Linked DNA regions of Saccharomyces cerevisiae S288C. The protein of the gene in region 2 purifies or fractionates together with the protein of the main gene of each other region. This does not show direct contact. Each region holds a gene or a part of one and is shown on either strand. Other genes may lie near its edges.

The links.
Region 1: the proteins of NOP9 (region 2) and NSR1 purify together in Saccharomyces cerevisiae (affinity purification with mass spectrometry, with the first as the bait; 2 studies listed by BioGRID). This does not show direct contact.

Annotation. Positions count from the first base shown.
Region 1 is NC_001139.9:805,588-810,128, forward strand, and holds NSR1 (Nsr1p), read right to left. Parts: upstream 2,070-4,541; coding exon 825-2,069; downstream 1-824. Other genes in the region: exosome non-catalytic core subunit MTR3, read right to left, coding at 1-434; RTS3 (Rts3p), read right to left, coding at 3,042-3,833. UniProt on the Saccharomyces cerevisiae protein: Involved in pre-rRNA processing. Specifically binds nuclear localization sequences. Candidate for a receptor at the nucleus that may be involved in both RNA and protein transport. Binds telomeric sequences of the type (TG[1-3])n in vitro.
Region 2 is NC_001142.9:416,498-421,803, forward strand, and holds NOP9 (RNA-binding RNA processing protein NOP9), read right to left. Parts: upstream 3,066-5,306; coding exon 1,065-3,065; downstream 1-1,064. Other genes in the region: chaperonin-containing T-complex subunit CCT8, read right to left, coding at 3,460-5,166. UniProt on the Saccharomyces cerevisiae protein: RNA-binding nucleolar protein required for pre-rRNA processing. Component of the 90S pre-ribosome involved in production of 18S rRNA and assembly of small ribosomal subunit. Component of the pre-40S ribosome required for release from the nucleolus.

The DNA of each region.
Region 1 (4,541 bases), on a different chromosome or scaffold from region 2:
TTATCATACGTTAAATAAACGAAGATATCGATGCCGGACTTGGGGTAGCGAGATAGGTTTACTACTGAATTGAAAATGCCCATTAAAAAGCTGCTAACTTCCTTCAGTTCATTTGTGTTATATTTTTCCAGAAGACCGTTCTTTAACTGAATAGATATAGTACCTTGAGATGTGAAGGATCCTCTAATGGAGCGTGGTCCATAGACAGCGGTAATGAGCGATGTTTGGTGTCCTAAGCTTCTAGCTTCTACTAATGCAGATCCATTGCAGTTTTCGATGAAACCGGTATGTAGAGAAAGTTCCTGTTCACTTTCATTGCCTTTAGGTGTCAAATCTGTTGATTTCTTTTCTGGCACATGAGTAGTAGTGTTGCTAAACGCCATTGGCTTGGCAGCAGCAGGGCCTAATAACCTCCTTCTGTCTTGAACATTCATTTATTCTGATAACACCTTAATGTGAGTATGTTCCTACTTTTAAGTGGAGTATGTGCTAATCCTTAAAGGAAGTTTTCGTGGCTCAATCAAGCACAACGCCCAAGCTTTTATTTAGATATTCATTTCATATTACTGAAATTTTTTGAGTATTTTCCAAGGCCTTGTAATCTTCCGTATCTAGCGATCTCATCTCATCGTGAAAAAAAAAAGAGTAAGCCATTCGAAGAAAAGTTGGCAAATAGAGATGGTGAATGAAAGGTTTAAGAATGTATCCTATTTACTTACTAATGTACACAAAATATTATAGACCAAATTTTTCCTCAAAAATGGAATATAGTAATTAACGTAAAAAGAGAAAAAATTGAAATTGAAATTCATTTCATTTTCTCATTAATCAAATGTTTTCTTTGAACCAGCGAAAGAAGCGGTATTTCTTGATCTGCCCAATGGAGCAGTATTAGCACCAGAACCAGATGGTCTGAAACCGCCACGGCCACCGCGAGCGCCACCACGACCACCGAATCCACGGTTACCGCCACGACCACCGCCACGACCACCAAAACCACGGCTACCGCCACGACCACCATCGTTGTTTGGTCTTGGAGAAGAGAAGTCTAATCTAACTGGTCTGTTGTCAATGTATTCACCTTGTAAAGCGTCTAGAGCCTTCTTGGCGTCCTCCATGTTGGAGAATTGAACATAACCGAAACCTTTTGGTTGTTCAGTTTCTGGATGTGTTGGGATACGGACGGAAACAACTTCACCGTGTTTAGCGAATAATTCGAAAATAGCGTCTCTGTCAGCATTGAAAGATAAGTTACCCAAGAACAAAGTGTCAGATGGTTCAGATGGGGTATCACCGAATTTCTTGGCACGATCGTTGTTACCAGCTGGCTTGCTTGTGGACATATCACAGTTGATTGGTCTACCATCAATTTCCTTACCTTGCATTTCTTGAATGGCCTTTTCAGCATAAGATTTGTTTTCAAAATCAACGTAACCATAACCACGAGATCTATCGGTACCTCTTTCATAAATAACTCTGGCACCAATGACACCACCGATGTGTTCGAATTCCTTCTTCAACCATTCGTCATCAATAGACCACGATAGTCTACCAACGAAAATAGTAGCTGGTTCTTCGGTTTCTTCATTTTTTTGCTTCTTGTTGGAAGACTCTTCGTCTTCTTCTTCTTCGGCGTCCTCAGATTTACGTTTCTTATCGTTAGACTCTTCCTTTTCGCTTTCGCTATCAGAAGATGAAGATGAGGATGAATCAGAGCTAGAAGATTCTTTTGATTCTTCCTTCTTGGTTTCTTCTTTTTCTTCTTCTTCTTCTTCGTCGGAAGAAGAGTCAGAGGAAGAGGAAGAGGAATCCTTGGATTCTTCCTTCTTGGTTTCAGCTTCACTTTCGCTGTCAGAAGACGATGAAGAAGAGGATTCAGAATCAGAGGATGAAGATGAAGATGAAGATTCAGATTCAGACTCAGACTCAGATTCAGATTCAGATGAAGATGAAGATGAGGATGAAGATTCGGAGGAAGAGGAAGAGACGGCCTTAGCTTTTTCTTCTTTGGCTTGTTTGGAAGCCTTAACTTCCTTCTTGTTACCTTTTACTTTAGTAGTCTTAGCCATCTTATTTTATCCTGCCTGGGTTGAGTGATCCGAAATTGGTTAACAGTTCGTCTTTGGGAAGCAAAAGTAAGAAAAATACTACGAAAGGAAATAACTTAAGGTACCAATGGATTGGGAAGTGCAGACAGCAACAGCTACACTTAAGTACTTTTAATATTGGATTGAAAATTTTCGTTCTTGCGATGAGCTGCCCTTGCAAATTTTTCACCAAAAAAAAAAAAAAAAAAAGAAATGGAGTGAAAAAAGAAACGAAAAAAAAGGGCATGGGGACCCATACATCAGGCACTTACCCCCAGGAAGGATTACGTCTTTAAATCAGAGGATCAAAGGGTAATTAACAACCACCAGTCGAATTGCTGTCGTCTTTCTTCAATTGCTTTATCCAAAAATCTGAATGGATGTAAGTATTGCCCAGTAAGTTTTCTTGGCAAAATAACCTATAGCGAAATAGACAATCAACGTGATGGGGTTTAAATAGCTAGCGGTAAGTAACCACTAGTAGAACGTAGCTCCATAGCGTGTAATTTGGCGGCAAAATATGTGAAGCAAGCATATTCGTTATTACTTAGCTGCCTGTGAAATCCTGTCTGTGCCTTCTCTTTGCCTTTACTTTGTATAAAAACATATCAACACTGTCTCTGCGTATGAGGCCGAGGTATTTAGAGCATAAGAAAAAATGTGAACAAAAATAGTGTCATCTCCAGTAAGGCTTAAATGTATATTGATTTTCTATATATATATATATATATATATATATTTATGAAATAAACCATATAATTATAAGTAGTAGCTTGGAAAAACGCCAAAGTTGTACTTAGAATGAGGTTTTAAAAAAAAATTATAAAAAAAAACCAAGCGAGAAGTCACGCTTATAACGCAAGTGCACGAACTGCATATGTGTTGGATTGCCAAAGATCAATAGGAAGAATATATTTAGAGAAACTCTGTTTTCTTATGTATCTCGCTTACAGCCTATTTCAATGAACCAGTTTGGAATCTCTTTGCCATGAGATCAGCCTTTAAAGAGTTTGAGCCATCGAGACTGTAATTGGAAGAACGCCTTCTCCTGTCATGAAGAAGAGCACCGGATTCGGTTAAATCGCTAGACGAAATGCCGCTTAGAGAACGTGGAAGAAGAGTGTGATGTGGAAGATCGGCGGAGGGAAGGTTTCTGTTTGTTGTTGGTGCTGAGTGGATTTTAGTCTCAATGGGGAAAATCGTGTCTGAGATGCTTGTTCCGTTAGATATGGAAGCGTTCCGGCTTGACCTTCTGGCGGAATGGGAAATGTGGGTCATGGAGTCCTTGGGTGTTAAGGGAAGTACGGTGTGTCTGGATGCACCATCTGTGAGCTTTAGCTTTGGAGTGTCGAGGGTGTAACCATAATTGCAGTCATCATCATCTAGGATGGCAGACTCGCCTTCGAAAAATGGAGACGACCTTCTAGCCGGGACCGGATGGTGCAGTTGATTTTTTAACCTAGAGTTTTCTTCTTTTAAAGTTTCAATTTCCCGTAGAAGTCTTACTACAATAGCGTCTTGCTCCTTTTCCATTTCGTTTATTATTTCTTCCCTCGAAAGCCTTCTCTGTGCTGACATTGGTGACGAAGAAGGAGACGACGACGTCGAAAGTCTGCGAGGATCACGTGCTACAGCTGGTCTCATGGCTCTTGTAACTGAAGTTTGTCTCTCTCTGCATGGTTTGGCAACAGCCTTCTTGTGTTTTGATTCTTTATTCATGTTTACGGCTCTGGAGGTAGCGATCATTATACTTTATCTTCTATTAATGCTATGATTGATGAATTATACGTATGTATGTATCTGTAAGAAAATAGCCGAATGATTGATTATCTTTTCTTATATATGATTCAAGGGAACGAAAAGAAGACAAGATAATGTTAGGCAAGATAGTTTTTTAGACGACTGAGGCCGAAGATAAGCTTTATATATATGCAAGTCTATTTTTGTACGGGCGAAACCATCTAAGCCAACGATAACAATAGCCAGCTATGATCGTTGAGTACAGCGTGGGGCAATTTTTAGCGTGATTGATAAGGGCGCATTATCTCATCATCCATCGCCAATTTGGGACTCTAACGGCAAACCTCGGATTTCCGTGGAAACGCATGGAAAAATTGATCCGGGCTGTGAGGGGAGTCGAGTCAGTCACTTTTTGGCAACTCTCTCCGTCATGACCACTACTCCGCGGTAGCTGCCAAATTTGGTATTTCCAGGTTGTTTTTTGTGGACAGCCCGCGATCATATGTAAGAGCAGGATGTGTCATCCGCGGGTGAGGTAAACGCTGGCTTGCCATTATGGTTTTTTGGTACGTGTTGAACACGTTGCTTACGATCTTGGTAGGGGCGGGCTGTGATGTGAGAGCCACAAACCCGCTTCCTCGTTGTGGCTCTGGCGCTCCGTTTCTTCTTTCCCCCGCCTTGTAATATGTCGTGCATGCGTCCATGATGATATCG
Region 2 (5,306 bases):
GATTCTATTTCAAATAAAAATCAACTATTACCTATCATCTAGCATTCATATTACTTGTATATTATCATATCTGTAAGAAGATGACATGAATGATGAGAAATAGTCATCAGACTTAATAAAAGCCGAAATTCAAGGTCGATAATGTAATAGGATAGGGTGTTGAATGACAATGTATAAAAGGAACGAAGACAGAGTAATACTATTATGTAAGAAATACCGATTCCCTTGTGAGTATATAAACATAACCATTTCATTAAAATAATTTATTCAATGGTATGTATGATATTATAATAACATACTTATACTTGTCTCACTCTGTTCATAAACGCAACAATACAATTACTTTTGAATATTATCTTTAATAAATACACTTAGTAGTTACCAATAAATAATAAAATCCTTTACTAATACTAATATAAGGATTTCTATGTTCTCGAGGAGAACTCGTAGTATGTTCTGTATCCCTAATATTGTAGCCCTTAACAACAATGGAATACGAACAATTTTCTTAATATTCGGCTATTTCTGAAATATACATATTCACGGGATACTAGGAGGTCAGCATGTTACAAATTTCATGATAGTGCATCAAGAGACCCTAAAATTAATATCCTTTATGTGCGTATTGCTTTCATGGTAGTAAATTATCACTGTTTTCATCTAGACGTGGGACGGTAACATTTTCGATAAATATCAAAAGATGGCAGTCATTGTATAGAATACCACAATTTGTGAGCATCTCTGAGGTTTTTTACAAGCTTCCGTAACTCATACAGACTTCTATCGTCCTACTCTAGTATTATTTACCTATTCATAACCACTTTTTTATCCTTCTATTTAAATTTATAGATGCAAAGGGCGGAAAGAATTGACTGGAAAGTAAACTAAATATAAAAAATATCGCCAACTTATTCATACAATATCGTAGCAACTGACAACTTTTAAAAATCTGCAAAATTCTTTGTAGTGTTCCTTAATAATGTTTAAGCTAAGGTTTTTTATTAAGAGGAAAATATTGCATAATTCTATAATTTACATCAGTACAGTAGTAACATATTATCCAATTATCTATAGTGCTTTTGCTTTTTGAAGGCGCTTCCTTCCTTCGAATTATTTCTTTCTCTTGAGTGCTTTTCTGGCTTTGGCTGTAGCGGTTTAGAATTTGGAAATATTTCAAATTCTTGCTCCTTAATTAGTTTTTTCCAATCCCACATTTTTCTAACATATAATTCCAGTTTCCAATTCTTCCACACTTGCCTGCCATAAATACTATTCTTCACCTTCTCAGTTTCTAAAACTAATGCTCTAGCAATACGCTCCTTATATAATGTTAATTTTGCCGTAAATTCCCACAATTTGTCCATTATATGAGAGCCATATACATTGCATGCCAAATTTACAGACTCTTTAGACAGTATGTTCAATAGCATTTTTCTCTTAATTATGTCCACCCTAGTAGTTTGTAGTACGTGCTCAACAACATGCGAAAATACTCCATGGTAACACATTTGTATCAACCTTTCCTCAGGCAGAGCCAACATGCTGTCAATGGTAATATTCAAAAACTTGTCGTCGTAGTCAATTAATTGTTCCAAGAAAACTGATCGTCTTCTTTCTTCTGCTGTTGGCCAGTCATCTCTGGTATTGCCCAAAGTCGATGCACTCAACAACAGGCAACTTTCCAAAATATTCTTTGCATCAGACTTTTCTGGATAATATTTTTGTATTAATTGAGCAATGACATCATCCCTTAAGTAACCACCTTGTTTATTGCTTGCGTTGATAATAGCAGTACCAAAATCCATATTTGAGTTTAAAAGCATGCTTAATTCAGGAACTACTGCATCCAATATCTGTTTTACGTCCTTCTCCTTCAAATGTTCCAGCAATGCACGCACTACAAAGGCACCTGTAGTATCCCTTTTTGCTAGTTTCACAATACGGTCTTTCATATATAAACGATAAAGTCTTTCAACATATTTTAGCCTGGCAGAGCCAATCACATTTTCTAAGAAATGAGAACCGACAGGATCTGACAGTAAATATTCCAGGAATGATTCCTCCTTAGGATCCTTCTCATCTGCTGTATTGAAGACCAATCTCCAAAATGAACGGTCCCTGTCAAAAATACCTTCGACTTGAATAATGAGCTGAATTACAGGGGAAGCCACTTTATCCACACTGTACTCTCTAAATTTGGTGATAGTAGATTGCGAAATATCAGAACGCGACTCGGCACCATTAGTAAATCCTTTGTATAAAGTAGTTATTATGTCACGAAGTTCAGATTTGAAAGATTCCGGTGTTTGGTAAACTTTATTGAAATCGTCATTATCTTTAATGTCAATCATTTTTCTTGCAATTTTTGACTTTTTGGAACGTAAAGTAGAGTTCGCTTTAGTTGAATTAGGCAATGTCTTGGAAGACAAAATTAATATTAGCAATCTCAAAACATGTGATGCATACTGATGGTTCATCATAGTTTTCAAGTGCGGTTTCAGTTCATTCAACATAAAGAGAAACATATTTTCCATAGTCACATAAGGCCCTTCTTTTTCATTGTTATCAAAACTTGGTGTTAAAAGTTCTCTTTCTACCAAGGCGGCACTTCTAACAAATAAAGTCTCTAAAACATGGGAAGCATATTTATGACATGACAACCCGAAGAAAACGCCATTGAAAGATTGGAAAATGTCTTTTAACTGAGTCTCATCACATTCAAGAATAACTCGTTCCATCAATTTCGAAGTTATTTGGGAAGTAACCAATTTCAGTTCTTTACCTTTTGCTTCCTCAATAATGCTCGTGACGAATTGAAACTTTTCCTCAGGTGCTTCGAAGGCGTCTAATTGCAAAGTCGATTCGGCTTGCTTGAAATACTCCAGTTCTTCTCTATCTAGCACACCAAAAAACATTTGTGGCTGAGTCTCTTTAATTTCGGCTTCGTCATTGTAAGTAGACTCTTCTTGCTGGATGTGCTCCTTCGCAGAATTTGAACTGGGTTCAAATTCGTCCTTTCTCTGTTTGTCTTGGTGTCTTCTGCCTCTTGTTTTAGTCTTTCCCATAATAACAATAATGTGGTTTTTCCGTGAAGGTTTCAGCGTCGTTCACAGTATACTAGTTGTAACAGATCGCAGCTCATCTAATATAATTTTCTTCATTATATTGTAGATGAGCATGAAAATTCTCGCTAACCGAAAAAAAATTGAAAAAAAAAAAAGTATTACAATCATCGAACAAATATACAGGCCAAGAGTTCGTCGGTTTTGCAGGTTGCTTCTTGGTTAATGTATACAGTACATCTGCATTATCAAAAATTCAAACATTATATATATCTTTACTACTATACAGGTACACATGATACAGCCTAGCAAGTTTGAAAACTTGATTGCAATTTATGACATTATATTCTGCTGTTTGCAGGTATATCTACTTTGTAAGTATAAAGATGCAAACAAATCAGTCTTCTTGGTCCCAGTTACCTGGCCTTGGGCCTTGAGGTGCTCTTGGACCACCCGCCTTCTTTGCCATGATAATTTGGTCAATGGAAAGCACAGTAGTTGCAGCTTCTGTAGCGACGTTAATAGCAAACTTTTTCGTTGCAAGCATGTCATAAATATTTTCCTCTCTGATGTCCTTTACACCTTCATCAGATTCGCCATCAATATCCACACCTTTATATAAATGATCTGTCTTAACTGCACCAGGTTCAGTTACGTTATGTGCAGCGTATAAGTTTGGTAGTACCTCATTAACATCAAGACCAGCGGTCTCCGCTAGGGTACGAGGAACCACTTCAAAAGCCACGGCAAACTGTTTTATAGCTAACTGTAGCAATCCAGGTGTTCGTTCACCATACTTAGTTATCCTAGAAATCAATTCAATTTCGGTAGCACCAGCACCAGGCAACAACTTACCGCCTGATGGCTTCATTAGTCCCTTGACGGCTGCAACACCATCATCAATGGCTCTTTCAATATCATCCAAATTATTCTGTGTGGCACCTCTTAAAATGATAGTAGATGTTCTTGAAATTTCACCTTGCTCTTGTTTGAACACAGTTACTCTATCACCACCTATCTCCATTGTCTTAACAGTTTCCACTAAACCTAATTCTTCTGGAGTTGGCGCACCTAATCTAGGCAATGGAGTGGCCCCACAAACGCGACATAATCTTCTTAATTCGAATTTGCTTGGTACCTTCAAGACTAGTATACCGTATCTATTCAAATAATGTAACGCCAATTCACCAACACCAGCACCTGCAACAATGCATTCTACGCCCATGTCGGCAATCTCTTTCATCATGGCATCTATTTGCTTTTCCTCGCCCTTAGAAAAATCGAGCATTTCTTGTGCATTATGTAATAAAACAGTGCCTTTCGTTTCAGTATTGGCTATGTCAAGCGGACAAGTGAAAACTGCAACTTTATGCTTTTTATCTTCGGATAATGATTTTACATGGCCTTCAGGCTCACGATTGAAAACCATACCTTTGATGACGGTAGAATTGGAAAGCGATCCACCCATAATCTTTACTACTCTGATAGAATCAACATTAAAATAAGGAATTTCTCCAGCTTGCTGAGCAACTGGTAAAACGTGAGATACAGCTTCAGAAACAAGTTCACTCAATATGTCTTCAGATCCGTACTTTTTGGAGGAGATGACTGGTTTAATCATTTTCAAAAGTTCGTTTTTATCATTCTTGTCAGTAATTTCACCAACAACCATTTCGTCTAGTTCTTTCAAAGTAAACTTCCTTGCCATATTATAACCTTGAATAATCTCAACGGCAGACAAGCCCATTGAAATCAGTTTTTCGGACACATTTAATAGTTCGCCAGCCAAAATCATGACTAAATTTGTACCGTCTCCCATGTCGATCTTCTGTTGTTCAGTCGCCATTACGAGGACTTTCACTGCAGGATGGACAATATCTAGTTCTCTTAGCATGGTGGCCGCGTCGTTGGTAATAATGATTTTACCGAGATGGTTAACAATGATCTTGTTTCTACCACAGGGTCCCATAGAAGTCAAACACATTTGATGTAATTCGCGAATGGCCGCAATTGATTTAATAATTTGGCCATCGGCGTTAGAGTAACTATTGTAGCCTTGTTTAAACAATCCCGCGTTGGGATTTTGTGGCAATCTAAGTGACATGGTTAATTGATGATTTTATTGCCCTTGAGGTTCAAGTTGTCTTGTCGGTATCTGTAAAGTGAGAACATCATCATGCTATACTATTTTCTTCACTTTTTTTTGCCACTAGCGGAGGTGATGAACATTTTCGAATACCGTTA